Tamandua tetradactyla: one gene and its partners. The protein of the gene in region 4 interacts with the protein of the main gene of each other region in a pairwise test. Links are inferred from orthologs where the notes say so. Each region holds a gene or a part of one and is shown on either strand. Other genes may lie near its edges. The genes, in order: SH2D4A, MORN4, ZNF277 and NUTM1.

What was found.
Region 1: the proteins of NUTM1 (region 4) and SH2D4A interact in binary tests that used the Homo sapiens proteins (3 or more experiments, as listed by UniProt). The two-hybrid records come from large-scale screens. The link is inferred for Tamandua tetradactyla from reciprocal best matches to the Homo sapiens genes NUTM1 and SH2D4A.
Region 2: the proteins of NUTM1 (region 4) and MORN4 interact in binary tests that used the Homo sapiens proteins (3 or more experiments, as listed by UniProt). The two-hybrid records come from large-scale screens. The link is inferred for Tamandua tetradactyla from reciprocal best matches to the Homo sapiens genes NUTM1 and MORN4.
Region 3: the proteins of NUTM1 (region 4) and ZNF277 interact in a two-hybrid assay, tested with the Homo sapiens proteins (2 studies listed by BioGRID). The two-hybrid records come from large-scale screens. The link is inferred for Tamandua tetradactyla from reciprocal best matches to the Homo sapiens genes NUTM1 and ZNF277.

Annotation. Positions count from the first base shown.
Region 1 is NC_135329.1:19,295,654-19,302,762, reverse strand, and holds the start of SH2D4A (SH2 domain-containing protein 4A), read left to right. Parts: upstream 1-3,816; 5' UTR 3,817-3,967; intron 3,968-4,174; exon of another isoform or gene 4,175-4,282; intron 4,283-5,989; exon of another isoform or gene 5,990-6,102; intron 6,103-7,109. UniProt on the Homo sapiens protein: Inhibits estrogen-induced cell proliferation by competing with PLCG for binding to ESR1, blocking the effect of estrogen on PLCG and repressing estrogen-induced proliferation. May play a role in T-cell development and function.
Region 2 is NC_135339.1:58,901,561-58,909,032, forward strand, and holds the start of MORN4 (MORN repeat-containing protein 4), read right to left. Parts: upstream 3,055-7,472; 5' UTR 2,798-3,054; coding exon of another isoform or gene 2,743-2,797; intron 2,722-2,742; exon of another isoform or gene 2,366-2,721; intron 1-2,365. UniProt on the Homo sapiens protein: Plays a role in promoting axonal degeneration following neuronal injury by toxic insult or trauma.
Region 3 is NC_135327.1:151,535,244-151,542,838, reverse strand, and holds the start of ZNF277 (zinc finger protein 277), read right to left. Parts: upstream 3,195-7,595; 5' UTR 3,182-3,194; coding exon of another isoform or gene 3,097-3,181; coding exon 3,091-3,096; intron 1-3,090. Other genes in the region: DOCK4 (dedicator of cytokinesis protein 4), read left to right, coding at 3,776-3,812. UniProt on the Homo sapiens protein: Probable transcription factor. Involved in modulation of cellular senescence; represses transcription of the tumor suppressor gene INK4A/ARF, perhaps acting via the Polycomb group (PcG) complex PRC1.
Region 4 is NC_135340.1:45,698,020-45,706,116, forward strand, and holds the start of NUTM1 (NUT family member 1), read right to left. Parts: upstream 3,048-8,097; coding exon 3,030-3,047; intron 2,758-3,029; coding exon 2,695-2,757; intron 1,394-2,694; coding exon 1,318-1,393; intron 1-1,317. Other genes in the region: NOP10 (H/ACA ribonucleoprotein complex subunit 3), read left to right, coding at 3,322-3,375, 3,657-3,797. UniProt on the Homo sapiens protein: Plays a role in the regulation of proliferation. Regulates TERT expression by modulating SP1 binding to TERT promoter binding sites.

The DNA of each region.
Region 1 (7,109 bases), on a different chromosome or scaffold from region 4:
TGCATATCCTATTTTCCTTTATAAAGGATAAATGTGAAGAGAACCTTCATTTTCAGTAGAACTTAAACCCAAATTGACCTTTAATTTATAAGAGCTGAAGAGCTGCTTCTCTAATCTTTCTGGCAGCATCAGAGCTGCTGTTTTGTACAACTCCAGGGGGTGCCTCACATATCAGAGTCTCTACGTGTGGTCCCTCTAGTGACCCAGTGCCGGACAAGACAGCCCTGGGCGGCATGGTTCCCAAACAACATTCTAAAAGGAACGCCCAGAAACATGACAACTAAAATTTGTCATGGTGTCCATTACTACAGGTAATTGACAAAAAATATTTAGTGTATAGTAAACAATATTTTTAGCTTTTCTCTTTGAGCACCAGTAGTAGATAGAGGAAGTACTCCCACACACTTGTGTGGTGACACCCATCTATACATCTCTGCACTGCCAGTACTGCCCAGTCTTCAGGAGAGGCTCAGTGCCTGTCCCCTGCCCAGGCCCTGGGTGCCCAGACCCCACACGGTATGAGTGTGGCTGGCACGTGAACCCCTCATCCTTCCCCACTCCTGTGACTTTGCATCCAAGATCATTGGGTGGGGAACTGTTTTCTCCAGAGAGCCACTAGTCCAAAGTGAGTGGAAAAGTAACTAACAGCCACACCAGGAAATAAAAAGGCAATTCGCTTTCTTTTGGAGTAATATAAAACAACCTTATTGCCTGCTTTTGGAATTATATTTTAAAGTATTTTTTGATTCCAGATTATGTCAATTAAAAGAGGGAATACTAGGAGATGGCAGAGGAGACTGGGAAACAAAGTAAAGATGATGGAAAAAAAATATGGACATAAAAGACGAGGAAAGAGTTAAATATAGGAAAGGCACATAACATGGATGAAAAGGGGACAATGAGAGAAAAGGAACAAGAGACTAGGCTCCAAATGATTGCTCTGTTTCTGTACAGTCTGCATTCATTAACACACAGTTATATGCACAGCAATCATTCATTGAACACCTACTCTGTGCTTGGGCATGGGTAGATTCAAACTTCCATAGGACATGGTCCCTGCCATCAAGAGGTTTGATTTCAAAGGGCATAAAGCATACACATAGCTAACTTTGCATGACAGCGCTGCATTGCAGATGGAGCAGGGACCCTGCCTGTCTACTTTTCTAGATCCCAGTCACAACAGAGCCTGGTACCCAGTAGGTGTTCACTAAATGTTTCTTGGATGTATGAAATGCTAAACTATGATACAAGTGTTATAACCCTATGGGAGAGGGAAGGACCATTTCGGGCTGGATTTGGGATAGTCAGGAAAGATTTCCTAAAAATTAGAGTTTGAAGGGCAGGTGGAGTTTTCATAAGCAAAGTTGTGAGGCAAGACATTTTAGACAGAGGGCACAGTGTGAAGCTGTGGGATCTGTGTAGGTTTAGGGTCTGGAAAATGCCAGGTTATCTGAATGTAGGGTTTATATTAGGAAGGCGATAAAGCTTAGGGAGATTAATGTCAGATTGTCTTGGTGCTTCAAAGTTTGTAAGCAGTTTAATTTTAATTCTTTGGGAAAGAGATGGATCAGAGTTAACATTTGAAAAGGTTGATTTGATAACTGCATTCACAAATTTCTGACCTGAAGAACCTAAAGCACAGTTCCTGAATGCATAATCTGCCGCTCCATTTTAAGCCCAACCACCCAGAGTGCTGCTCAGAATGCAGATGTTGGGGCCCCACAAATGTATATTTCCTAGGTCTTGAGGTCCAGGATCTGCATTTAAATAAGCTGCCCACATAATTTTTCCTGTACACTAAAGCTAGGTAAAACTGGCTTAGAAACTAGAGGTGTATTAGTTATCTATGCTGTGTAACAAATTATCCCAAACTTAGCGTCATAATACAATAAATAATTATCTGAAAAAAAATTATCTCACAGCTTGTAGGTCAAGAATTGGACAGTGGATTGTTAAGTGGTTCGAGCTCAGGGTCTCTCATGAATTTGCAATCAAGCCGTGAGCTGATGCTACAGTCACCTGAAAGCTGGACTGGGACTGCAAGAGCCTCTTCCAAAGGCTGTAGGCAGGAGTCTTCAGTCCCTCTCCACGTGGACCTCCCCAGAGGGTTGTTCATGAGATGGCAGCTGGCTTCCCACAGAGCAATGCTGAGAGAGTCATTTATAATCTATGTCAGAAGTGACATATCATCACTTCTGCCATGTTCTATTGCTCACCACAGACCAACGCTGGTACAATGTGGGCAGAAACTATAGGAGGTAGAGATCTTCTGGCTAATTTGGAGCCTGGCTACCAAAAGAGGCAAAACCCATAGCCTAAGTGTGAGGCGATAGGAACTTGAAATTATACTATGTAGTACGGAATAAAATGAATTACATGTATTATTTCAATTAATGCTCATAACAACTCAATGAGAAAAGTACTGCAATTATTCAATGGGGAAATCGAGGCACAGATTTGTTATGACAAAGGGAGTTATTACACAGATGGACTTCTCTGGATGCCTAGGGAGATTAATGTGTGGAGGAAGGGAATTGGCTGTTACCGATGTCCTATGGAATTTATCCTGGCTAATGAAGTCCGTTAACCGTTCAATACATCAAGTTTTAGGATTTATTTTCAGACGGCCACAACAGCTAACCAGGGGCAACTCACATTTCAACCTAAAGCACTCCACAGGTCATTCATTTAATAAGCAATGGGAACCAGATCTTAGACCAGAAATTCTCCCCAGACAGGATCCCTGGAATGGCCTGTTAAATAGTTGGGTCCTGTTTGCTGACTTTACCCAGGATTTGATCTCTGCCCCAAGCTCTTCTAACTTCTGCAGTCTGGAGAGGCTGGGAATTAGAAAGTTATTTTTAAATCCTGCAAATCTGGCTCATGAATATATCTGGTAGGCTGTGTAGACCAGCACCTGAGAACACTCCCTGTTTATTACATCTCTTCCCAGCACAGAGGCAAGCTGAGGTTCGTCAAAGCAGGCTGTTTTCTCCACACATTTTGAATGCTGCTCTACAATGGAAAATGCCTTCCAAACTTTCCATTCTGCTTTTGCTGAACTTTCCTCCGAGGTTTCCTCTTTTGTAGTCAGTCAGCACCTCCCTAATATTCTCATGAGCCACCCTAACCTGTTCTTGCTGAGAGTCAAAAGACTTCATGACCTTCTTTCTTTTCTCCAGTTTTGTTTCATTTCAACTCCCTTTGTCTTTTTTCAGCGTTCCTCCTTTTGCTTTGTCCTCCTTGAGCTTTTCCTACTCAACCACACCTATAATTACAAGTGCCCAAGAGTTTGATCACTTACTTAATGTCAACAACAACACAAGTAAGTTCCGGAGCTGCGGGAGCAGAATGCAAGAGGGTGAGCCGACTGGGCCGGTGGGACCGGGCCAGCGTACCTGAAGCCTCCAACCCCCCCCCACCCCCAACTTGCCAAAACTGCGTTCTGCAGTGGCCAGACCTGCCAACATTAATAAGTTCCGAAGGACCCAGAGAGATGCAAGACGTCACAGACTGCAGATGTCATTCCCCAATTAACTAAGAGTGGAGAGTGGAGAGTGGAGGGGGAGGTGGCCCTGTCGCCCGCCATCCCTCGCCCCGCCCCCCGGCCCCGCTCCCAAGGACCAAAGAACCTCGGGGTCAGCGCGCCGGACAAGCCGGCCTGAGATGCAGCGGGCAGCCAAGCCTGCCCGGCACTGGTGCCTCTCCAGGCGCCCGGGTGGGGCCGCGAGCGCCCAGTCAGGCCCCGGGCATGCGGGCCGCGGGTGGGGCGGGGCGGGCGGGCGGGTCAGGGCTGAGGGACGCCGTTTGCCAACAAGTTGGCCTGAGTGTTTGTCCAGCCAGTCTGTGCCGCTCGCAGGCGCCTCAGCCTCCTTCTCCCTTGCTTCCCCAACAATTTCTGGCGGCCCAACTGGACCGGGCTGGTGCTCGGGTCACCCAGCCCAGGCAAGCTCCGGGCTCTAAACAGGTAAAGGCTGGGGTGGGGTTAAGAGAAGGGTGTGTGGGGCTGGGTGGGGGTGTCCCCCGGGGGGAAGAGTGGTAGGTGCAGGGGACTGCAGGGAGGCGGGGCGGCAGAGGGAGGGCCGGCCTGGCGAGGCCTCGGTCCCGGGCGCCGCGCGCCCCTCCCCTTGCCCAGCTCCCCCTTCCCCTCCCCCGCTCCCGCCCCGTCCCGCCCCGTCCCGCCCCGGGCAGGCTCAGGTGTGGGGTTGAGCCGGGCGAGCGCGGCCGCGACGGGCTACCGGTGTCCGATGTCGGGTGTCCGATGTCTGGAGCAGGCGGCTGGGTGAGCGGCGCCCCGGAGGCCCGGGGACTTGTGGTCCTGGGGAGCAGCTGGAGAGGGAGGCCTTCGGGGGAAGCTCTGGGGATCCCCGCGGGGATATGCGCGCCCGCGGAGTTGGGGCGGCCTTGGGGTTGGCTGCGTAGGAGGGTCTTGTGCTCTGCAGCTTCCAGGCACACTTCTGGGGCGTCAGCCGGGCCTCCGCCACCTCCGCCAGCCCCTGCGCGCTCCGGGACGCCCGCGCGCTTCAGCCCGCCGACTTGGCGGCGCCCACCCCCACGGCCGTGCGGGCCAGTCGCACCCGCATCCTCCGTGTGGGTAGTACCGGGTGGACTTCCTTCCCAAGGAGCTGTTCTAGAAAAGTCCCGGGGAGGCGGTTTTAGCCCGCGCCGCACCCCCGCTGTGGCCTCCCCGCGCGCCCGCACGCAGGTGCGCCTCCACGTGGGGTGGGGCGAGACGCGCCCCGGCGCTGCGGGTCCCCGCGGCCGCCGCCCTCGGGTCGCGGAGCTCAGCCGGACCGCGCGGGAGGCAGACCCAGGCTGTGGCCCCGGTGTACTCCACGGTGACCTTCCTCACCTAAGTGGGCACCCTGCCCGCAGGACTCACGCGGGCGCCGGAATGGGGGTGGGAGACGCAATGAGCAGTCAGAATCTGTAAGTTAGCTCAGGGTTGTCTGTCCCTGCCAGGAGAAGAAGCAAGCGCTGCGCCTCTTTCCAAACTGAGATTCTCTTCATCTCACAAAAGGCTTTTATTTGATTTAGGAGAAACAACGGCTTGTTTAACAGAAACAACGACTTGGACGAATATGATCATTTGTAAAAAGTGAATAAAAAATGAAAGATATAATGTGGGCACTGATTTGGCATGACTGGAATTCGTTCCATAAATCTTGTGTTACAGTAAATTTAAATTTCTGAAGAATGGTGAATGTTTATAAAACAACTTACCAAATTACTGTCACCTCTGGTAATTAGTTTTGTTCTCAGAATGAGTCCTTTCGCAGGATAGAGAAGTGACGATTGTCTTCAAAGAATTAGAGTTCAAAACTATATTCTTAACATGAAAGTTTTACTGTCCATGTCACAGTATTTATTTGAAGTACCTCGGTCCCTTTGGGTGGGGGGAGCTCAGTTATTAAAATTAAAAAAAATTAAAGAACAGTGGCTGTGGAAGGGGGGGCATTGTGGAGAACTAAAAGGATCCTGTGTCTCCTTAGAAGTTGGTTTTGGGGATAAATTGCAGGGTTGGATTTGCTGCTTATTCTTTTTCTTGAGCAAAATGCTATACCAGAAGAAAACCAAGTTAATTAACTAAACTTTAAATGTTTTGGATCTTGACTAGCTGGAAGTTGCTGCACTAAATGTCTTAGGGATTAGATAACTTTGGTTAAATAACTTTGAATCAGTATCAGCAATGATTGTTGTGGGGAGTGAAAGTAGGAAAACCCCTGCTGAGTTAATTTCCTCATTTCCATTTTCTCTACCCTGGCTCCACTTGTCTCCATAGCTTCAAACTATATTATATCACGGAGTCTACAAATTGTGTAGGTCCACAGCATGAACTGGCTGTCATTTCACAGATGAGAAAACCGAGGCCCCCGGAAATGAAGCGTGGGCTCAGTCACACCGTTCATTAGAGGCGGAGCCGGGTCCCAGGCCCTTGCTTGTTGTCCTTATCAGCACACTGTGCCCTGGTTATTTTCCTTCCGGGCAGCATGAACACCTGGGGGAGAAAGCGTGAATCTCTACAGGTGAACCAGCAGCAGCAGAGGCATGCAATACCGTTCAGCAGCCTGAAGCCACATATTTGATCAGCTGCGTCCCCAGGTATTCTCTGAGGACCTGATAAAACCAGTGTCTTTCCTTTAAGATCTGCTGGTTAACTTCAATGCCAGAAGTGCGTGCTTGGTACAGAGCTTCGTAAAAAAGCTTGAGCCTTTCATCACAGCAGTGGGGTAGGACCCATCCCATGCGTGAGACGCCTACTGTGTGCTGCCCTTGACGGCGTGTGGGATGGGGAAATGCGGAAATTCTCTGTGCCTGTGACAAAGCTGGCAGATGGTATGCACGCCTGGGCCAGCATGACAGTTCCTGTCCTTTCTGGGGAAGGGTGATTTCAATACTGGCTACCTCTGCAAGCGTATGTATGACCTGTCACGATGAGGCTTTGCGCTCTGAGTCCTGTGCCTTCATTCAGTTTAGCATTTCTATTGCTGCAGGAGTTTCTGGTCTTTGTTCTGAAATTCAGACGTGCTGCCCCGTGGTGAGGTTTTGATTCGGGGCTCACAAACTCACAAAGAGGCCTCTGTGTCGTAGAGTACACTAGAGCAGACTCTCCGCTTTCCAGCCTCTGTGCCCCATCTCCTTCTGTGAAATGGAGGGATTGATGGACCTGACTCTAAGGGTTATTGTGAAGATTAAATGAGTTGATGCATGAAAAGTGCTTAAGACAGTACCTGTCCAGGTAAATGTGAGCTCTTACTGGTCTTAGGGGACAGGAGGGAGAATGTGGATTTGGCACTTCGAGGCTTTTCATTTTTAGTCTTGACCCACCCCGTCACTGTTGCTATATATTTGCCCCATTCAAAATGGGGAACAAACTTGAAACCTCAGGCCTCACTGAACTGCTCCTTTTCTGCCATGTTTGCCGTGTGAGTCCATCATTAGTCACAGTGTGCCAACATAAGGACGTTTACTGGAATGCCAAGGACGCAATGACTTAGGTTTCTTACCACTTCATCTCAGAGCAGTGGAGTCGGATGTGCTGAGGAACCACGTGGGCTCTAGACAATAGCCTGGCCTCTTGAAGCTTCTCCTTCATGTAGGTTATATTG
Region 2 (7,472 bases), on a different chromosome or scaffold from region 4:
GTCTAAGGCCCCTCCCGTTGAATCTAGGCTGGTGACTGCTTCAACCAATAGAACAGGGGAAGTAAGGGTGTGCTCTGAGGTTACATCATAAAAAGTGATGCAACTTTCATCCTGCTCACAGGTACACACCTGCTTAGAGACCTGAGTCACCAAATAAGAAGTCTGAGGCCTCTAAGCTGTGAGGAAGCTAATCTACATAGAAAAACCACCTGTCTGTGCTCCAACTGGCAATTCTCCAACTGGCAGAATCCCAGTCCAGGTGCCAGCTGTGAGTGAAGGAGCATTCAGATGATTACAGCAACCTTAAATTCAGTCTTCCCAGCTGAGGGCCCAGATGTTAGTGGAGTAGAGAGGGCACACTCACGGTGCGGTGCCTTGTCTGAACTCCTGACCCAAAGAATCCATGAACATCATAAAATAACTGTTTTAAACTGCTAACTTTTAGGGTAATTTTTTATGTAGCAATAGTAACTGGAATACCATCTTTCAACCTAACCCTGACAATGTCCTCTCCTGTTTGTTTTCAAGAATCCATACTTCAAACTTCCATTCTTTTTTGATCTAGGAAGTTATAGTAAATTCCCCTCAGCACCTGCTTGTCCAAATGATGTCCATTCCCCCAAAACAATCAGAAGTGCTAATTAAAGGAACATGTATAGGATCCAAGGGCTTTGGGCCTCAGTTGGACACATTTGCTAGAAACTACTACATCTGTCCAAATAGTTGATATTGTCACTGCCTGGGACAGTATCGAGATTTTCATTTATGACTTCTGTAATTGATCATGCTAATTAATAGTGAGCTGCACAAGCACTGACACAAAAAGGAATTTCACCAATAACCACGGTCATTGAGACAAATCAAATTTAATAAAATATAGCCAGTTGTTGGAGACTGAAAAATCAATACTTCAGCAAGGGATGCAAATCAGTATTTGTATCAGTTATTCAAATAAACATTTTTTTTTGGCGGGGGGAGGCGGTGCATGGTCTGGGAATCAAACACGGGTCTTGTGCATGAAAGGTGAGTCTACTACTGAACCACCCGTGCACCCATCAAATAATCTTTTTAAAGAGAGTAGATGGCCTAGAGATTTAGGCTGCAAATATACAAATGGAATCTAGTTACAAAGCCAAGATGATTCAGCACTTCTAAATAGACACCCACCCCTTCTGCCCTCCATGATGGGCTGCAAAGCATCAGTCCAAACATTTACCTAAAAGAAAATTACTATTTTTTCTTTATAAACCAGTAACAATACACTATTAGTCCGCACCACAGACTACATCCCTGCTAGCTTCATTTTCTCCTGCCCCATACATTTACAAGTAGGACTCTGAGACAATAAAGAGAACTTCCGTTTCCCTTCTATTTGTGTCTTTTAAAAAATTTTTTTAGAAATAAAACTTAAACAAAATGTATGCCCTCACAGTAACCTATATCCAAACTGAGAGAATTAAAAAACAAACACCTTAAAGGGGAACAGACTTTCAGTCAAAGAATATTGTTCGGAAGCAGTCCCACCTTAACTATTCACACATGCGTACATACTGTCCCTCTAACGCCACCCTCCCCACACAACTTAGGACTGTCTGGTCAAAGTTCCCCTTTCAGTTATGAAAGAGAGCAATTCTTGAGTTTTGAGAATCCTAAAGAGAAGAACATGAAGGCTTTGATGAGTAAGTATTATGCTTCTAAGGAACCTAGAACAAAGACTCAAATGTTCCTTTTCAAATGTTTTTAAATAAGCTTGAATTAACTTTATTATAAGTGTAACTCCCCCTTCCCCCATTTGAAATGTAAACGAATGTATCATTACTATTTAAAGATCTTATTCAGGAAAACTGTGGGCCGGTTAGACTGAAGAAAGTGCGAAGAAAATCCTGGCACCAGGAAAAAAAAAAAAAAAAAGACTGAAGGGGAGAGGGGAAGAGGGAGAGGGAGAGAAGCGAGGAGGGAGGGAACTGGAGAATGAGTAACACTCCCAAAATACTATTCTAATTTTTGGGAGAGGAGACCGTTCTAATAAAAGAATTACTCCCGCTGGTCCCCAAGCAGTCTGGAGATGCTAGACTGCCGGGAGACCACCCATCAACTAACTGAGGCATTCCGGTATCTCATTCCTCCACAGGAGGGATGTCTCTCCACCCAGGTGTGACAGAGGCGGGCAGTGGCGCAGACAAAGCCTTAGACTTAACGTGACGGCACTTCCTTGTCGACCTCCCCATTCCTTCTTCCACCATTTTTTTGCATTCGAGCCCCACTCCTTTTCCCCATCTCTGCTCTCCCATCCCGGCCGGGCCCTCTGCTCTCACAGGTCTGCCACTCCTTCTCGACAACGCCCTCACACTCCCCGCTAGCTCACCTGGGTGCCGTGGGCGCTCCAGGGCCTCGGCCCCAGCAGTCGAGGAGGGAGGTCCGGATTTGGGACCCCCACGCGCAGCCGGCCTCCAGAGCGCGAACGGGATGGAGCCCCGCTCCCCAGACTCTTCCTTTCCTGCTCGGACCACCTAAGCCCATCCTCCCGGTCCCTTCCCACCCGCGCTGCCAGCCCACTTGGGCCCCACCTTTCGGGACGACTATCAGGCCCCGGCTCCGGGCTTCAGCGGCCGGGACCTTAGCTCCGCCGGGTTCTGCCCAAACACCTTGGTTTCCACAACCTCTACCACCCCCTTCCCTACTTGACGCCGCCATCCCAGGCAGCCGCACTGGGCACAATTCCCGCTTCCCATTGGCTGTTACCTAGGCAACCAGGAGCAACGCCACTCTCCATTGGGCCAGCCGGCTTCTGCGCCATCTTTGTGCGGGGCGGAGTGTTCCGAGAGTCTGGGCCAACTATATGAATGAGGGGTGGGGCTGAACACGCGGATGCGCCGCCGTGACCCAGGTATCCAGTTCACGTCTATCCACGGACAGCCTAGCCGAGATGTTAACCCCAAACAAAACAAAATCTGGGTCAGTAGCAACAGTGAACACCAACTCATGTGGCTCCGATCCTAAAAGGTCTGGCCCGGGAGTTTAAAGACAGAACCTATATCGGGTTTTAGAAGTGCAGCTTTGTAAATTGTAAAGCACTGGGTAGGATAACTGCTGTTTAACGGGTCTCAACCCTATACCAGGCATTGTGATATAAGAACACCTTTGCATTTGTTATAGGGATTTTTGTTGTCACTGTTATTACCCAGACCATTTGTATGCCAAGACTGGAACAAACCCTCTCCAATATCATACACATCAATCCCTTAATCTACATATTTATTTACTGAAGGTATGAGTACAGCAAGGTGTTAGGTTCTGTCAGACTAGAAGAGACATGATCGCCGTGCTCATGGATTTACTGCCTGAATATGTAGAAGAAAAGACTCCTGCACATGGAAAAATCAAAGACTGCATTTAATAATTAAGAGAAGTCAAGCACATGAAAGGAGTAGGCAAACTGCTTTTCTAAATTGAGATTTCTTCATCTGTAGAACGGAAATTGATACTAATTACAATAAAGGCTCTCTAGGACTAGTATGAAAATGCAATGTAAAATGCTCAGTACTATGTCTGAGACAGCCAATATTCAATAAATAGTAGATTAAAAACTTAAAAAAAAAGATTTTGGATACTGTGTTCAAATCCCAGCTCTGCTACCAACTGTGTGTGATTTCAAGCAAGTTATTAAGCTTTGCAGCCTGTAAAATTAGATTGGATTAGCAGATTTATAAACTTCAATCCAGCTTTAACACTCAATCGTTAAGCTTGCTAAATTGTGTGGTATTGATCTTAAATATAATTGCAGTAGTTGAGAGTACTGTCAAGGAAATGGATCTTATTAGATTGGAGAATGTACATTAGAAAATATGAGGACATAAGGGTAAGTAAGTTGAGTGAGGCCAAATTATGGAGGCATCTGAAAATTAGGGAGAAGACATGGTTTCTAAAATATATATTTTGATCAGAGGAATGACATAATGAAACTGGTGTTTTAAAAAAATTACTATGGAGGTGATACCCAGAGATGATCAGAGAGAAAGAGACTGGAGGCAGAGAAGCAAACTCGGAAGCTATTGAAGTAATGTAGTTATGGCATCCTGAGATGTCAAAACTAATATGGCATCAGTGAAGAGGGAAAGAAAGGGAGTGAATACAAGACATTTCATAGTGATGTTTAATAAAGAAGCAACTACAGTGTTAAATTCTTGGATTCAGTCTGACCTGAATTTGGGTCCAGCCATTTATCAATTGTGTCACCACAGGCAAGTTGCTTTACCTCTTGAGGTATCAATTTTCAACATCACAGGGGCTCTTATGGTGGTTAAATGAGTTAATCTATCATGCACATAGAACATGTCTGGCACATGCACACCATTCAGTAAGTACTAGCTCTGCATATGTAATCGGGAATGTATTTTCATTCTTTTTAGTAAAAGGAAAATCAAATTCTAAAGTATAGATGCAGATAAAAATTCTCAGGGTTTTCTAGTGAGAAAAACCTTAGAATTCAAGGGAGAACCCTAAATGTTGGAACTTTTCCTTGACCATAATTTGAAGCTCAGGGGCTAAATAATATGAAAGATACCAAGAAAGCATCAATGTGACTTTGGACCCTGGGACACAAGAAACAGACATCTCTTGATTATTTGATATCTGGGTAGGAAATGAAAGTATTATGTCTTGTAATTGAAAAGGGAAATGGAATCCCTTGTATGGACCTTTGCCTAGAATGGCTTATTTGGCAAAAAAAGGTTTAAAATATTATCATATGTACAAATAAATAACAGTTTTCCAACTTCTAGTGAGCTGTAGCAATACTTTGATTCAAGAAAGAATGGTTATGAAGTATTGGTGACTGCATAGCTAGTTGTCTTCTGTGAAAACCCATACCTCTAGTCTACTGGTTACTTTAAGCATAAAACAAAATGATATCAACAATAACTTCAGCAGTGAAAAATGCTACTCTTTTTTTTTTTTTTTGGTGTTTTTTATGTACCAAGAACTATGCTATCTGCTTTTCATATATTATCTTGATCCTTTTTAAACAAGTGAGGTAGCAATATCACTCCTTTTTTTTTTTTTAGAGGATAAAACTGAGGCTTAGAGCAGTTAAGTAACTTGTCCAAAGTAGTCAGTGTAGAGCTAGGATTTGTCTGATTTCCAAGCCCATGCTCATAGCCATTACATTCTAAACTTTAGGAGGTAATGTTAGTATAAATTTTAACCATAACAATAGTCCATGGATTTAAACAAGCAATTACTCCAACTATGCATCCGTCTTCAAAGATGCCACCCTTACTTATTCCAGAGTTACTTATTGGTGCCTGGGTCTGGAGTTGGTCCACCCCAGATCACTTGCCTGGTGAAGAACTGTTCTCTAAAGCTCTCCGCAGCTGTTCACCTAACAGATGCCTTCTCTTCATGGCTTTCCAGGCCCTTGGTAATCCAGCCCAGCCTTGTTTCCCCTTGAATCAAGCAGGTTACTCTCTTCTCTATATCCTTTAACCTTCCTCTTTTGATCCTCGGGTTACTCACTCATGCTTGGTGTGCCCTCTTTCCTCAATCTTTTCCAGTGATTTAATTACATTCTTCTTTCAAGATTCAGTGAATAGCACATGCCCCACTTAAGGCCTTCGCTGACTCTCTGGCTGCAGCCCCCAATGGGTGAACTCTTATAATAGAAAAAAAATGTTGATTCTGTTTCTCCAACTGCCCCAGAGGCTGTGGCCTTAGCTTGAGGTCACGGCCTGTATCCTCCTTCCTTTCTTTCACTGAGCACCTACTGTCTGCAGACACTGAGGTTACAGGGGTGAATAAAACAGTAGCGGCCTCTGACCTTACGTTTACCGTCTCTGGAACGGTATCTTTCTTCAGTTAACAAATAAGCATGGAGAAATCAGACCAAGTGGACTAAGTGGCACGAGAGCAGGGATTTTTAAAAACTTTTTGTTAAAAGGGGAGGAGGAAAAATTGTCAGCATTTAGCCTAGGAAAGAGAAAGTGAAAAGGAGATTTCAGTGCACCCCTGCTCCAACCGCCACATCTGCGCTCCGGCCCCAGGGCCCAGTCCACGATATCACCGGCTGCTGATCCACGACCTGCAACCCCAGCGATCTGTGCCCCGCCCCTACACACTCCAAATCTGCATCCCGGCCCCCCTGGACCCCTCTCCCTGAACAATGACCTCTGTGCCACCTACCCTACATCCTGATACTCAGGATCCCGGCCTCCACATCCCCACCCACATCCTGTTTGTGCACCAGCCCCAGTGCATCTGCACAGCACCCCCAATCTGTCTCCTGCCACACCCCACCCCTGTGTCTCCCGCACCACATCCTGCCCCTGCGCTCCAAGGTCTACCTGAGCTGCACCCCATTCCCAAGGCCCCTGCACCCCACTACCCAAACCCCTGCCCAGCACCCAATGCTCACAGGCACCAGTCCCCAACCTGGGCCTATACTGAGCTGCAACCCATCACAGCGCTGTTGTGCCCTCACCACATCCCTGCATCCTGCTCCGCATACATCCCACAAATACAAAGCTTTAGACTACCAAAGGAAATCAACTTCCAAAGTCACTTATTAAGATATTGACATGCCTCGAAGGCAACAGAAGATCACTAAACATATCAAGATGCAGACATACAGCCCAACCTAATGACCAAATTAAAACACCAAAGGAGACACAGACTTTGGAACAACTACTCAAAGATGTTCATATAGCTCTACTAAATAAAATTAATGGGATGGCTAATGACATAAAGAAGGTCAAAAAGACACTAGAAGAGCATAAAGAGGAATTTGAAAGAATAAAGAGAAAAATAGCAGATATCACAGAGATTAAAGATGTTGTAGACCACATCAAAAATATACTAGAAACAAACAACAGCAGAGTTGAAGAAGCAGAAGAAAGAATAAGTGAACTAGAGGACAGGACAATTGATTTTGAACACATAAAAGATCAAGTGGCAAAAATGATGGAAAAAATGAATTGGATCTCAGGGCAGTGATTGAACAAAACAAACCACACAAATAGAAGAATCATTGGTGTCTCAGAAGAAGAAGAGAAGACTAAAGGGCTAGGAAGGTTAGTTGAGGATATACTGAGGAAAAACTTCTCAACCCTTCCTTATAAAGAACATAATTATGCAAATCAGAGAAGCCCAATGAATTCCAAATAGAATAAATCCAAATAGACCTTCCCAAAGGCACATACTAATCAGTCTGTCAAATGTTGATGAGAAACAGAAAACCCTGAAAGCTGCAAGAGAAAAACAATCTACTACATACAAGGGAAACCACATAAAACTGAGCTCTACTTAGCTAGCACTATGGAGGTCAGAAGGTAGTGGTATGATATATTAAGATCCTGAAAAAGAAAGACTTCCAGCGAAGAATTCTGTACCTAGCCAAATTGTCCTTCAAAACTGAGGGAGAGGTTAAAATTTTCACAGACAAACAAATGCTCAAAGAGTTTGTCAACAAGAGACTGGCC
Region 3 (7,595 bases), on a different chromosome or scaffold from region 4:
GGAACAGACAGAAAAGATATTAAAGGCACAGAAAATTAAAATTTTTGTATTGGATTAAACTCAGGACCCCGGCGCAAGATAGGAATCAAGGCTGTTTCCTAGGTTTTGAGGTTGGATTTGATGCCATTGAGTGAAACAGGGAATGCAAGAATAAGTTGACAATACCTGCTATCTTCCATTTCTTTGAGACATTACAAATGAGCTAATAAGGTCTTCAGAGGAAAAGAACTATAAATCCCAATTAACATTATCATGATCTACTGGGCACGCATTTGGACAGAAAAAAGTTGACTCTGTCAGCATATTATAATTTGGAGAAAGAGGTGAATATTGTCAGGAGAAATCATCTCAATCACAAAACCTCCTAAAGGCACTGTCAATTAATAAACCACGGATGTGTCATTTTACTGACATCTAACTCAAAACAGCAAAAGAACAAACCCTTCCCCCGACACAGTGTAAGAGATGTTGAGTTTATTTACTATCTGTTCTTAATTTCAGAGGCCAGTACGAAATCCTAGTTACTGTTCATACATGGAAAGGAAAGCAGTGTTGTGAAAGACTTGAACTGAGATCTAATCAGTTTAGGGACTTTCCTGGAGAGGGTTGGAGCTGTAGAAAGCTTGGCAACACAGTGCTCTCAGGAAGGTGCTGTACCTGCCTGCCTACCATTCAGGAGCTCCTTACAGCAGAGATCAAGTAGAACTGCAAGAATTTCTGTAAATTGACTCCACTGTGCCCTCTGTCCCAGGATATTAAGCACACAGATTGACATTTTAATTAGAACTGAAGGGAAACCTCTCAAAAGACAGTTTTCTAGAAATCAAGATAGCCTCCGATTTTACAAAGACAGGCTAATTTAAGCAGTTGTTTAACAAAAAATACGAATATGCTTTTATATTGTTACCTTCATCTTAAATTTGTATCACCTAACAAGCACTGAAAATAGTTGGATAAAGTCATAGAATGATACATTGATTATATGAAGGGGGATATTCAATTACAACTTTTCCTGCTAACATATAAGCCAACCATTAAACTCTCCCACTGACAGCTATAAATAAGAGAAAATAGAGCTGCTCAGTTCTTTTGAAAACAAATTGGGCCCTAAAATGAAGCTTTCTATCGGTTACTCAATTCAATCCAACCATTACTGAAGCACTGGTCCTGAATTAATGTTTTCCTCAAAGTTGGTAAGGCCAGGGGGAGGTAGGCCACTCTTATATTCTATGGCACTGGTGGGAATGTGTGCCGATACATTTTAAGAGGAAAATCTGGCATATATAAAAAATTTTAAAGCAACTGCCCTAGCGGTTCCTCCTCAAGAAATACACAATCAGTGGGCAAGAATATGTATATAAAGCTCTTCACCGAAATATTACTACAAAACTAAAGTCAACCTAAATGTTCACTAATAGATAAATGGTTAAAGTGTGGCACATCCATTTTATGGAATACAATGGACACATCTTCAAGAAGAATAAAGCAGCAAATGTACTAATACCGAAGACTGACCATGACAGACCACTGAGAGAAAGAAGGGTACAGATCTTTAAGTTTACACAGAATGATTTCTGATAAAAAAAAAATCAAAACCATATAAATGTGTGTTATACAGGAGTATGCTAGAAACCCTTAGAACTTAGAGAGTGGGGCTAGGTGGAGGAGGAACTTTCAGGTTTCACTTTATACACCTCTGAATGTTTTAAATATTTATAATGAAACTTTTATCACTTAAAAATAACCAATGATTTTTAAATGTTTACAATGCTTTTGAAAAGCATGCCCAATTTTCTTAGTTATCAGTTAATTTGTGAGATAAATTCACCAAATATTTCATCTTCAGATCTTAAACTAGTAGCTCTCTGGAAAAATTTCCAAAATCTGGAAAACCTTACAGTCCATTATCAGATAAGAGTTAGTCAAATGTATGGCCAACCAAAACAAGTATCAAGGGAACACAATAATTAACTGTTTAGTGTGTTGATAAAATTTAATTCAGGAGCCTACCAAAGATTTACATCTTTGACAGAGGAATTGAAATGAATTAATTTTACAGGTAGAGCGTTCCACTGATGGGAAAGTGGGAAGAAACTGCACATATTTCTGTGGGCTGAGATAAAAACTTGAGACTGAATGTCGGCTTAACGGTGAAAGCAAAAAAAAATTGAGAGAAGGAAACAAAAACCCGAGTAGGAACCGAAAACCAAATTCAAGCCCCGGAACTTATCCATCAGAAAAAAGACAACTTACTGTGCTAAATTACGACCCAAAAACAAAAGCAGAGAATTGGAGGGGACAGACTAAAGGATAAATGAATAAAGCTGGGATTCCTAAAGACAAAGTTTTGGTCTGTGACTTTTACGGTGAAAAACAGAACAGATCACCACTTGAAAGTCAAGCAAAGTCAAAGGTGCTGTGATGACTGTTCATCACTCCTTTCATTTCTCTGAAATCAAGAGTACAAGTGACCATTCTCTTTCCTCTTTCTCTAAGGACCCTGCACAGGAGGATCTTCCGGGCTCCAATTCTGGAGAACACCGACAGCAATCAATGAGCGGCTAGGGGAGGCTGTGAGACACGCACAGTTACCCTTCAGGGGCCGCTCCAGCCAGTAGCCGGGCAAATCTGTAGAGAGCAGTGACCACCTTGCGACCTGAAAACCTCCGAAAACCAGATAAAATACATCTTCCGAGACAAATCAAGCAAACCTAAGCGGAGGCGGGGGACTGGTGAGGAAAAGCAAGGAAAAAGAGGTGTTTGCTAATGCCAAGGTTATAATCACACGCGCTCACCTGACCCACACCCATTCAGCAGTGAGCGTAAAGCCTGGCGCTTGAAAGCGGAAGGGAGAAGCCCAGGGAGATTCCCTGGCTGTGGGGAAGGCGATTTCACCTAATTTTCTCCGCCCTCTCAGGATCGCCTCTGCGAGGTAGCCGCCCCTAACTCCAGCCTGCTCCCGCCCGTGTTCCCCCTCGCGCCCAGGTGGCCGCAGAGCCGGCGTGCTCCGGGGCTCAGCCCAGCGGCCGGCTGCTCTCCTAGCGGGGGAAAGGAAGGAAAGTCCCCTACACCGCAGGGGCAAGAACTCACCCTCATCACGAAAAACTCTAGCTCTGCCGCAGAAACCACTACGGTCCTCCTCCCCTTTGACAGCAGCCCCCGGGGTCTTAAATGCAGCCATTACGCGGCTCAAGAGAAAGGGGACGGTCGCAGGGCGAGAATGGGGCAGACAAGCACCAATGGAAACGCGGCTCCAGGCGAACTTCCTATCAGTGCAGCGTTTTCTCCACGCCCACGCCGCGCCGTCACGCTCCTGGCCAAAAGGACACGGCAAGCGGACCCTTATTCCCGCCCCTTGCCGCTAATGCCACGCCCCTTCCCGGGATAAAGGCCGGGAACTACAATTCCCGGCGTGCTGTGGAGGCGCTGGGAAGGCAGGGCTGGAAGAGGCGCGGGCGGGCGGGGGTGCACCCGAGAGTGCCCCGGCGTGTTAGTTCAGTGAATCAGAACAATGACTGCGCCGCCGGGTCCTCGGGAGCGCCTCGGAGGACTGTGAGCAACCACCGCCGGGAGAGGGGCGGGCGGCGCAGTCTCCGCCGCGCGGTGTCAACGCCAGGATCAGGATCCTTCAGCGCAGACCCTGCCCAGCGCCCGCAGCCCCGCGGAGCCGCTGAGCTCCAGGCTGCAGCCGCGACTCCGGTGTTGTGCATTGTTGTGAGCCGGAGAAGGGGTGCGTGGATTACAAAGCCTGAAGACCGCGGAGTCCCTTTTAGCCATGTGGATACCTACGGAGCACGAGAAATACGGCGTGGGTGAGTCTCCGCGGAGCGAACTTTTATTCTGCTCTGGCTGGAGCGGGTGCGCATTTCGTGTCCTTGCCCCCGCGCCCCTCTCACTCAGCTCGGCTGGAAATGCCTAATGCTGCCCAGGGCTTTGCCGAGCCAGCCCGGGGCAGAGAGGTGCGCGCCGCGTCGCCTGCCCGGGTCTCACCCGGCTGGGTCTCCTGGAGCGCCGGGACGGCTGGCGGAGTGTGCGATCCAGCCCGCCCGCTCCGGCCTCTCTGCCTGCGGAGTTTGGAGTGGTGACGGTGTGTGTGTGCGCGCGTGTGTGTGTGTGCGTGCGTGTGTGTGCGTGTGTCAAGTTGGAAGAGGAGGGTGAACGGCGTTCCTCTCCCTTCTCCCTCTTCCTCAGAGCTGCGGGAGACGGCAGTGGGCTGCAGCGATTTCTCAGGGTGGGGATGGAGACAACAACAACCGCGCTCAGAGAACATCTCCCAAACAGAAGGGAGGCGCAGAACCTTTCCTCTGGCTCGGATCAACATTCCCGGAGTGCGTAATGTGGCACAGTCCTCGAAAAGAGCCGCTCTGACAGACCGAGCCTAGTGCGAGCCTTGTCCTTCCCTCCCATACAGGGTTTACGGGGTGTGTGTGTTGGAGGTCGGGGGATTGGTAAATTTCAACATCTGCACCGCTTGGCTCTCTTGTTTTAGGCAAGGAACGGGTATTTCAGAAGTGTTTTTTTACTTCTGGCTTCCCTTGTGGCTGGGGGTGAGGGTGGCTGTGGAGTGATGTTGGTGAGGGGGATCTGCAAGCCTGGGTCTTCGAGGCAGGGAGCCAGCTTTTAGGAAAGCACTATCTTGACGGAGGCATTCGGAGAAAAATGAATAGGGTAGCGCTCGCTGTTGTGTGCAAAGGTGAACAACAAAGGACATTAATGTTGACTGATGAATACAGGAGTCTCCCTTCCTTTCCCTCCTCCCGTTTCAGACCGATTACAATTCCCATTTTTGTTGTTTGATTTCAGCTGTGTTGTCCCTGGACGGTTACTCCTTTTAGGTTTGTGACTATTAAGAAGCCAGGCTCTCTGACAATCCTGCAGCGACCAAATGCAATTATAACCTCCCAGAAGGTCTAAGAGAGAAAAAGCATTATGGATCTTACTAACACTCTATTCCTATAATGCCCTGAACTGCCCATTGGTGTACTTTTTTGGGGGGGGAGGGTTCAGACACGTACAGATATCTGCTTACACTTTAAATTAATTTTCCTGCAATTAAAAAGATCTGGAAAGCCTTTCCTGAGAATCATAGTCACAAGGGATTTGTTTTCAACTTCTCCTGGAGACAGGACTTTGGAGTCCACTGGAAGGACTGTAGGATTAAACAGAGGCAACCCATATTTTACGTTACCTTCTCTGGATCTTGACTTGTGAGCAAGACAATAGTTTGTCCTGGACCCACCTTTCAGAACGGCTTTCAGTTTTCACTCTTGTAAAAGTCTGAGCAAAGCCTTTGCCAGGCACTTAACTGTCAAGGAGGAGATGCTGGGTGATTTTGTTTTCCTTATCTTCACTCTCCTCTTTTTTGGGTAGATCAACCCACGATAGGGAAAAGACTGCCTTTGGTGCACTGGTGAATAACCGGAGGGCATCGCCTCCCTGCTGGATTTAACACTCAGTGCAGGAAGTGCAGACCCATCCAGGCAACTCTGTCTCGCTTGGAATCAATCCCAGATGTTGCTTTCTTCCAAGTGTTAAATTATACAGATTATGAATGGGATTTATTTTCTTGATTTCTTTATGTGCCAGGTCACAGCTGGGGTTCTGGTATCGATTAGTTTTTTCTCTCCCCTTTCTTTACAAGCTGTGGGCAGAGGCTTAAAAATCACTCTGGGATTTCCTGGAATGGCAAACCGGATATTATCAGTCAGTGTTTTGGGCTGCAGCAGACACCTTGGTTTTGGCTTGGTGTGATTTGATCGCGGAGTGTGTGTGTGTGTGTGTGTGTGTGTGTGTGTGTGTGTGTGTGGTGAGGTGGAAGGGTCTGTACGCATTTGGGAAAAGGAGGTTGAGTAAAAGGTGAGAACAGAGAGGGGTATTCTGCCCAGAATTATTGCTGCTGTGCTCATTTATACAATATTACACATATAGGAATGCAAATCATCTTTGATTAATTTTTGTGCATTTGGCTTGTGGAGTGTGAAACAGTTTTTTAGAATCCATCTCTTAGACTTTTGTGTGTGTGTGTATGTGTGTGTTGTAAAAATTTTGTTAGGATACTTATGTGTGGACTATTTCTCACCATGGAGAGCACTATTTGTAGCTGCCTATGCTGTAAGGTTTTTTGGTTTTTTTTTTAACCTTGATTAGTGTATGTGCTTTTCTCAACTAATCCTCATACACACTAAAAAAAAATACTTTATGGTCACGTGTTTGGCTAATATCAGGTGTAGTAGTAATTCAGTTTCCTCATTTTTTGAAATCAATCAGCCTTTGTAACTTGGAGTACCTAAGGTTTCAGTATAAATCACTTATTTCTGCAATGACACTTATTTATCACCGTGTATATATGGAATAATTGTGTCTTTATATGCTTACGCTTTAATTTCAAGCAACATACTATAAACATGGATAAAAGTTATTAAATTTTATACCTGTAGTGAGATGTATCAGAGATAAAGATGGTAACCATCTAATGCGTGGGCGCATCTCTTCTATTTAATCAGTGAATTACCTTAAAACGATGTATACTCAAGCATATACCTAAGCCTTCTAGTTCAAGGGAATTAGTTGTAGTGATAAAGCTGCAAACCTGAGGAATAGGGAACTTTATTCCTTTAAAAACATGTTAGTAGGCACAATCATAGGCATATTTTATATCTTGGGAGATTCTGGTTAGCTCTTGATCCTAATCCAGACACTTCTGCTAGCTGGGTGATGTTACGTAGGTCACTTAACCTCTCTGGGTACCAGCCTCTGTATCAAATAATATCTAAGGTTCTTCCCAATGCTAGTTCTGTGGAGCTTTTCCAACCAAATGTGTCCTTTGGAAGGGAAAACATCTCCATTGTTTAGAGGTTGCTATGAGAGAGACACTTTTGCGGTTTATGTATGCCACATGGCTTTAAACAGAGATCACAGGTAAGCAAAAGATGCCTGGCAAGCTGCCAGATATGAGGTGCTACTTGCTTACTTTCTCAATCTGTTTAATTCCCTTTCTCCAGCAGGAGCTCCATGGACAGTGACTAAAGCTTTCCATCTCCCCCTCACAAATTTACTCACGATCATATCTGTCTTCTGCACTCCCTCATCTGTCAGCCTCCCCTCCCCTCTAAAGTGGTGGCAGTTATTCACAGGGAAAGTTAAGAGAATTGCAGATACATTTCTCCATTAATTTGTTCAACAGTCATTTATGCACAGTGTTTCCAGGTGAGCCAGTGCGTCTTCCTAAGACTATAGCTCTCAAACCCAGCCAGGTGATTTACATGCATGAGCTGGGTTGAGCTTGGCCAGAAAAATATGGACTGGATTGATCAGTGCAAAAAATATCCATGAGCCTTCCTAGAAACAAAACTCAGAACAAGCTGATTTGAAGATCACAGGTGTCATTTTGGGAATGAATTATTATAATACTAGTATTACTAAGACCTCACAGATGTTTCTGTCCTCCATATCTCTTGAAGTGTTTTTTTTAAAATTTATCCAGATAGGAATCATGTTCCTTTTGAAAGCTTCCCCTATTTTAGGGAAAGTGGCACCTTCTCTTATTTATGCAAGCTCTTCCGAGTGGCCTTCCTTTCAGAAGGGCTCTGTTACGG
Region 4 (8,097 bases):
TTGGTTCCCAGAAATTCTGTTATATAATAGCCAGGAATGACTACAGAAGATTAGATAAGTACCAGGAAATGGGTGAAGGGTGGGAGATGTAGGGAGGTTTCCAGAGCTGCCAGACGTGTTAAAAATTTGGCGCTGCAGACTGCCTTGCAGTCCTTCTGCTTTGAAATCCTAAAACCAGAAATTTAGGAGTCACTCAGAACAAGACTGTGAGCTGGTTGCTTAGAGAAGGATAATTGAAGTCTGGAACACAATTCTTGCTCACGAGTTGCTTGTGTGGATTCTAGTTAAGGGGACTAAGGATAAACAAAAGGTGCTTAATTAATTAGGACGTGTCTCCTAGGACTTTAAATAACAATAATAGAAGATAATCTGCCTAAATTCATACTAATCCCCCCACCCCACCCTGCTCTTATAAAGAGCATTCCTCTGGCAAACTGACAACACTCAGCTTCTACTTCCTGGCCTTGAAGGAGACATGGAATATAAGCAAATTAGTCATCTCAACAGCAGCGCAGAAGGCCACAAGTATGGCCGAAAGTACTGAACAAAATGAAATTGGTCTGAAGGCCTGAGTCCCACAAAACATAAAATCAAAGCTTTCTTCCCAGTTGGAGTTAACCACCACCTCCCTGGGCCCTGATGAATCAAGGAAAACTGCTATACAGAAAGAAAAGCCATCTCTGGGGCTGGAAGTTGCTGTGAAGCTCTGAGCCCTGGCAGTTAGAGTACTTTCCAGCCTAGCTTTCAGGAAAATGTTTCCCTGCAGGCTTGGCAACAGATGAGACACTGAACTGTTTTTTTGACTAAAATCATCCCCCAACCCTATCTTCTCTCCCTCTTCCCTTTATAAGATGAAGAGTGACCTCATCTCAGTTCTCTCAGGGCAAAATGCTAGAGCAGGCACCTAAAGAAAAAGACTTAAGAACTTGGGCCTTCCCCTTGAAACCCTTCTGGGCCCCTCCCACCACATACCTCTGCCCCTGCTGCACAAACACACATTGATGTGGTCCCCCTCCTAGAGAATCCAGTTCCTAATTGCCAGCCTTTCTCTACCTAGCCTACTTCCTCTGAGGTGTCCTAATCTACCCCTAAGGAGCCCTCTTCCTTCCCCAAACTCCAGTCTGAATTGTTCAGTCTCCCTCCCCAGCCTCCCCCAGGTGTGATGCCTTTGGTGGGGTCCACAGGTCTCCTCCCTCTAGGCCAGCCCAAAGAGCTTGCTGTCAGACAAAAGTGTCAAATGGGAATCCCCAAGGGTCTGAGTAGGTGGCAGGAGAGTAGGTGGCAGGAACCCTCCCTATCTGACACCCACTGACTTACCTCCATCTGAAGCTATCCTCTCAGATTTGGGCACCAACTGTGGCTGTCTGGAAGCCTCCAGGACCCAGAGAATAAGCTGGCTTAGAAGGTACCAGGGATCCAAGAAAGGGAAGGTAAAGATCGAATCAAAATAGAACTAGAATCTAGGACTCAAGGCATTCTGCAGTGGGGGAGGGGAGGCTTGGAATAGGGGGTACGGATGAGGGGAATATTCCACGAAGGACTCTGAAAAATAGGCACTAACTGAGTTTGGTAACAAACTAGGGTTTGGCAGCACAATTGGCATGTACCTCTTTAGGGCAATTTGAAAATACTTTCTCAAATTCCCAACACAACAGTTTTACCTCTATTTACTTCAATTCTTCACCAATATATCTAGTTTTGCCTCTTCAGCCCCACCCAGTTCAAGAGTAACTGACTTCCTCTTAATAACAGGTTGTTGGTAGACCCTTGACTTAATTCAATGATGGCTGTATTTTCTAAACGAAGTTCAGACCACATAGTCTGCATACTGAATCAAGGCGACTGAATATTTGAAATTCAGATTGTCTCAGAAGATCCAGGATAGTTGATTGCTATATGCCTATCACTTACTCGCAAAGTTGTCCTGCAGCCCTCAAATGGTCTACTACCATAAGCTTGGCAGTCCACATCAGGCCAGCCTTACCAGTCATCCCTTCTGCCGAAAAGCCCCACCACATAAAAAAACTGCCATGTAGCCTAAAAGTTCTAGACCAGAAAGTTCTTCTTTTTGTTTGTTAAATTATTTTCTTGTTGTTAAATACTTAATTAAAAAAAATAATTTTAATTGAATTGTTTTAAATAAATGGTTCCATGCGAACCTTGAACAACCGTGCTGGCTCAAGATTAAAAAATTCAGCCTCCCAGCTTCTAAGAGACAACTCAGGGTTGTTTCCAGAAAACAGGGAATCAGTAAGATGACATAAAATGAGGACTTCAGGGAAGCCCTTTGTTTATTTACTCCTGGCTAAATAGGTAAATACATTAGCATGGTTCAAAAGTCAAACTGCAAAACAGAATATACAGCAACAAGTTTTCTTCCTGTAACAGAGTTCTTCATCCCAGAGGAAACCAATATTACCTTTTTCTTATGGACCCTTGCCGAGGCATTTTGTGCAAATGCAAGCTATATTCTTTTTTTTTTTTTAAAGCTCTCAGGTTTTTGTGGTTATAAATTAATAATATGTTTCAGTGTTTTTGCATTATAGATATTGCTGCAATAATCATTTTTGTAATGCTATCTTGGTTCTAATTTCATTTGTTTAAGCTACAGCCCCATAAAGAAAATTTCTACGTTCCTTTAAAATTCAAAATGCCACTAGAAGTGTTTCTTTTATGCTATCATTAGTTACTCACCACTATAAGAAAAAGCGCTGAAAATGCGGGAAAGAGACCTGAGTTTGAATCCTGGTTCGACCACTAAAACATACTTCACCAGTTTCATAAAATAACTTCACGCTCTCTCCGCTGTGCAGAATATTGAATACCCATCATGCACTCTTTACCGCCAATAGTTTGAAAAGGGGCGGGGAACCGGATGCAAAAGCGGGGAGGGGGAAAAATTATTTTAAGGTAAAGGGGTACTGAATCCCAGAGTCCTTTTCTCTCCTGGTGTTAGACACCCACCGCCCCTCAAATGGGTGGGCATCGTAAAACAAAGACAGAATTCTATTCATTAATGTTCAACCCACGTTCACTCCCACCCCCATCTAACGCCTAGCAGTGCCTGGCACACAGTGGGTACACTCCACGCATCAAGGCATGTAAGGTTACAACTGCAGGCCCCCAGGCCAAATCCTGCGATAGAGCGCCCCCTTCTGGTCAGCTGAAGAAAATGCCAAAAATGGACTACAATTCCCGTCATGGCTTGAGACAGACTTCCGGCTATACCGGAAGGACGTTGTGAGCACGTGAGGTGGTGGGACAGGCAGAGGCGCAGATAAGCGTGCGGACGGAAGTGGTGTCTCTGCTTGAAGCGTGGTCATGTTTCTCCACTTTTACCTCAATGAGCAGGGAGACCGGGTCTATACGCTGAAGGTGAGGAGAGGATACTGCGAGAAATGGGGGGCAGGGGGCGGCGGCGGGCGGACGAGACCGGCTAGGTTTGGAGATCCAGAAATGCCGGAACCGAGGCGTGTAGACGCAGGGTTGTGCCGCTTCTTGAACAGACCGTCGCGTCTCCTAACCCTTTGCTTGCGCCTTATCGCGTTCCCACCCGCACCCCCTATTCCAGCCTCAGTCAACCTTATGACGCCAGTAATTGAGTTTGCCCCTCACTCCGGTGCTGAGATCGTGTTTTCTCTTCCCTTCTCGAGCAGAAGCTTGACCCAATGGGACAACAGACCTGCTCAGCCCATCCTGCCCGCTTCTCCCCAGACGACAAATACTCGCGACACCGAATCACCATCAAGAAACGCTTCAAGGTGCTCATGACCCAGCAACCGCGCCCTGTCCTCTGAGGGTCCCTCATATTTCATGTCTCTTCGGTCTCCTGCTACCCCTCGGAGTCTTTCTTTAAATAAGCTCTTCAGTCTGTGAATCTTGAAGCCCTGTTTTATTACCACCCTTGGTCTTTGGAATCTAGTCGCATTGCCTTTGATCATGCTTGTGTGAGGCAATCATGTTAGCATCTCCTATAAAGGAAACAAGTTTGAATCTTTTCATTTTGTGAACTACTGTTGGGTTATTAAAGACAGAATGATTTAAAAGAGCTCTCATTTTGTGTGTTGTGGGAGAAAAGAGTTGGTAAACAAAAAAAACGAGGGAGATGAAGGGGGAAATGTCCCAGAGCATGGCAATAAGATCACTTGTAAGAAAAACTCAGTCGCTGCTGTAGCAGCGAGTAGTGATGTGCTGTTGTTGATCGGAGTGCGTCGGGAAAGGGGAAGAAAGGTTGAGAAAGACCTTCACAACTGTCTATATTCACTGAAAAATACCCATGTTGTCATTCCTTGTGCCCCCTAGCAATGACATTTTGACTCAAAATGGAAGAGTTTATTGAAAAAGAATAGCAACCATATTGTAGAGGAAGGCCAGTGGATTGGAAGTCAGGAGATGAAGGTTTTCCCCTATTTGTGCAACTTGAAGAATTTGGTGCTATTTTTCACATCATTTCAACGTTCTCTTCCAGCTCTAAAATTGAGAGGATTTAGTGAGTCTTTCTTTTCAGTATATCTGTAGTGTTTGTCCAAACTTTATGAATAGTAGTGCCCACATGCATATTTTCTCTCTGGAAATATTCCCAGAACTTTAGGTCTCTAATCAATTCTCTTTTTACACAAACCTAATTTTGCATTCTTTCTGGCAGCTACTATGTGGAACTCTTCATGAACTTTAATTTAGGAGATGAGGTGAGGTATGAGAGGTTCAAGAAAGAACTTGAAATCTTTTAGGACCTGAGCTTCTATCATGGAGCAATAATAAATGACTTTCAATCCAATTACTTCATATTAAGAGGGTGCAGAAAAATACTGTATCCAGGCACTCAAGAAATGCTAGGTTGCTTCTTCCTCTCATTGTCAAGTTAATCAACCCCTATTTCTCAGTTGTGTTACTTGGCTTTTGACGTTGGATTTGAATGTGCCTGCTCAGTGCCATTGGTTTAAAAATTGCTTTTTGGAGAACATATTCTAATTCAGCAATCTTTTCCTACTTTGTCAAAATTAGCAGAAGTAACTCAAATCAGCACAAATGTCATTTATAAAGACTACAATGGAAAGGGATAGATAACATTTCGCTTGGCCCATGTTGTCTGACCATCCTAGCAGAAAAGTTGAGGACAGTTGTTGACTGCTGAGAAAGAAGGAAGTCTCTGGACTTGGATCATAATCAACGGAGAAAGATGATTTTTAAATTAATTACTTAAACTTACAAAAATGTTGAAATGAGATAGTTTCCTTTTGAGCAATTAATTTTTTTTTTATTTTAGCCTAGTCACTTTCAAAAAGTTCTTAACATTGGGTAGAAAGGATGTTAAGGAGTTATCCTAACCTATTAAGAGAGTAATGATTGGTGAAATATTTAAAGTTATACGAGTAACAAGAAAAAGGGCCTGATGCTAAAAGTTTCTTTTTCTTAAGAGTGGGTAAATGAACTCTACTGTTATTTTTTAATGTTGACTGCAATGCTGATTTTTTTCTTAAAAAAAAAAAAATAGCATTGTTCCCCATGGAACCTGCAACATAGACTGAAATTAGACCCTGGGCTGGAAATGTTCCTAGTTGAAGTAGAGGAGAAAAGGCAAACTGTTGTGCAGTAATGAGAACTTTTTCCTTCGGTATTAACATCTCCTGGGACATAAACTTATAGAGCTTGATGAGTGCTCAAAGACAAGAGAGGAATCTTAAGAGTTATAGTATATTAGCATTACGTAGGATATATAAGTAAATGTAAGTACACTGTGATAAAAAAAAAATTGGTGATGTAAAATCCAGCATTTCTTAACAAAGGAAAGTCTGTGGGTTTCCAGTGAAAAACAGGCCTGCCTGAGTTAAAAATATCCCTTGGGGAGATGGATTTCTTGCTGTATCTGTAAGAAAGCTAGGAACCTGAATCAAGTACCACAGGCTTTATAAAGGTTCAGGCTTCAGGAGCTGCACATTTTTTCCTCATTTTGTTACCTGGGTCTTTTAAAATGGACTTTGGACTTTGTGTACCACTTGATGAAAAGGGGTTTTCCTGGCTTGGGTCTTTACAGTTCTGAACCAATTTTTAAAGATGCGGTTTAAACAGTTCCACTTGTGAGGAGCAAAGACCCGGGGAAAGCCAAGGGCCAATTTCTGGGACCAGAATGTTAAATGTCTTGATCAAAGGCACAGCAAATAAATTTAGTCAACATTTATTGAACACCTCTTTATGCATTAAATATACACACTAAAAAATAACTCCATCGCCAGTAAATGTAATAGGGAGAGCACTGGGAGTAGAGAGAAAGTATCTCAATGTCTTTTCCAGGTCTAAAATTATTTATCTAAAGTGTTCTTTAATGGAACGTTCAGTCTGACTAGAAAATGGGCCTACTATTTTTCAAAAGACGGAAACAAGAAAAATCATGCAGTATCCAGTGCGTCTAAAATTGCTGCCTCTACGCTTTAGGATAGAATTCTACATAAAATTCCCATAAGGGTCATACGTAAATATTTGGAATGGGGGGATTGTTATAATTCTTACAGAGATTATGAATGGTATTTTCAGAAACACTCTTATTAAAGAGAGATGGCCCTTGAGGTCTCCTCTTTGAAATGTCTTCCAAGTACTGCAACCCCGGTCCTACCCCGCGAGGCTTCCGCCCCTACATCCGACTGCCAATTTCCGCGATACCCCAGGACCCTCAAACGCTCGGTCCTACTCCCCGCCCCCTCCGCCCACCCGGCTCGCCTGGGCCCAGGGTGGGCGCATGCGCGCAGTCCTCCGTCACCTCGCGGGCCGCAGAGGCTGGGCGGGGCTCCCGGGCGCGCGCAGGACGGTGCCGCCCTCCGACCCTTCCCCCAGGTTTTTTTTCCGGACTGTTAACCTCGAATGAGGAACGAGTCGGGCGGGAAAGGAGGGGCTCCGGCGGCAAGGCTGCAGACCGCCGGGCCGGGCGCTGGGGGTGGCGAGGTCACGTAACGGCTGCTTTGGCGTCTGACTGGGGAGGGGGCACCCTCCCCTGCTGCCGGAGCCCTCCCACGCGCGCCGCGGCTCGGAAACAGTTACCGGCTAGTAAACAACAGCTGCGCGCGCACCAGCATCAGCTGGCGCGGGGATCGGCACCTGCGACCTCCTACTCCCCTACGCCGGATCGCCCCCTCCTTCTCATCCGGTGGCAGCCTGCGTGGCAGTCTCCTCTTCTGCTAGAACCTGAAGGACGGCGAGGGGCTGACCTGCGCTGGGGTCCTGATAGGGGAGGAAGCATCTCCTGTCACACGCAAGACACATCATCAGTAAGCAGACCGTGAGCTCGATGGACTGACAACGACCTGCCAAGACCCCGAGCTGCAGTCCGAGGTGTCTTGATCCGCTAGCCTTTTCCTCCCAGATCCCAGGGACCTTTACTGCCGGGAGAAGAGCGGGCTCGCCACCCCCGCAGACATCTCGGCGGCAGAATTCCGATCTGCCTTGCACCCTCTGCTGCTCACCCTTCTCTTTCTTCTCCATCCAGTAGTGGGATATTTTTCCCGTTATGCATGCGCACCTCTCCCACCAGGCCCAAGTGGATTATTGGCCTCAAAAACATCGGGTGGCTCTTCACACACCTCCTCCCAGCCAAACCTGTGGGGTATTCACCTGATGCACAACAGGTGGCCAGGTGTACACTTTTTTTGCAATCTGATCCATACTGTATTCGCCTGATAGGGTGGGCCTGCACGCACTTTGCTCAACTAGAACTGCGGGACACTCACCAGATAAAGGATCAACTACCTCAGCCAGAACCTGGGTGTTAAGGGAAGGGAGGCTTCACTTGCTGCTCTGAGACCATGGCACTGAATTCTCAGCCCTGGATCATGGGAGATAACTAGGTAGCTCTTCATTCTGAAGGAACGAAGTCACACAAGATTGGCATCATTTCCACCCCTCCCCCCAAAATTATTTTTTCAGCTATTGGCGGTGCACTTTCTAGGATAGTGTGATCGAATTCTGAGTAGAAGTAGCCTTGAGATTTTTTGTGTAGTATGAATCAAGGTAATTAAGGTGTTTTGTGTTTCTGTTTGTTTTTTTTTTTAATTAACCTTTCTGTTTTTGCAATCAAAAGTATCAGCATAGGAGGCAGTATTTGCGGGA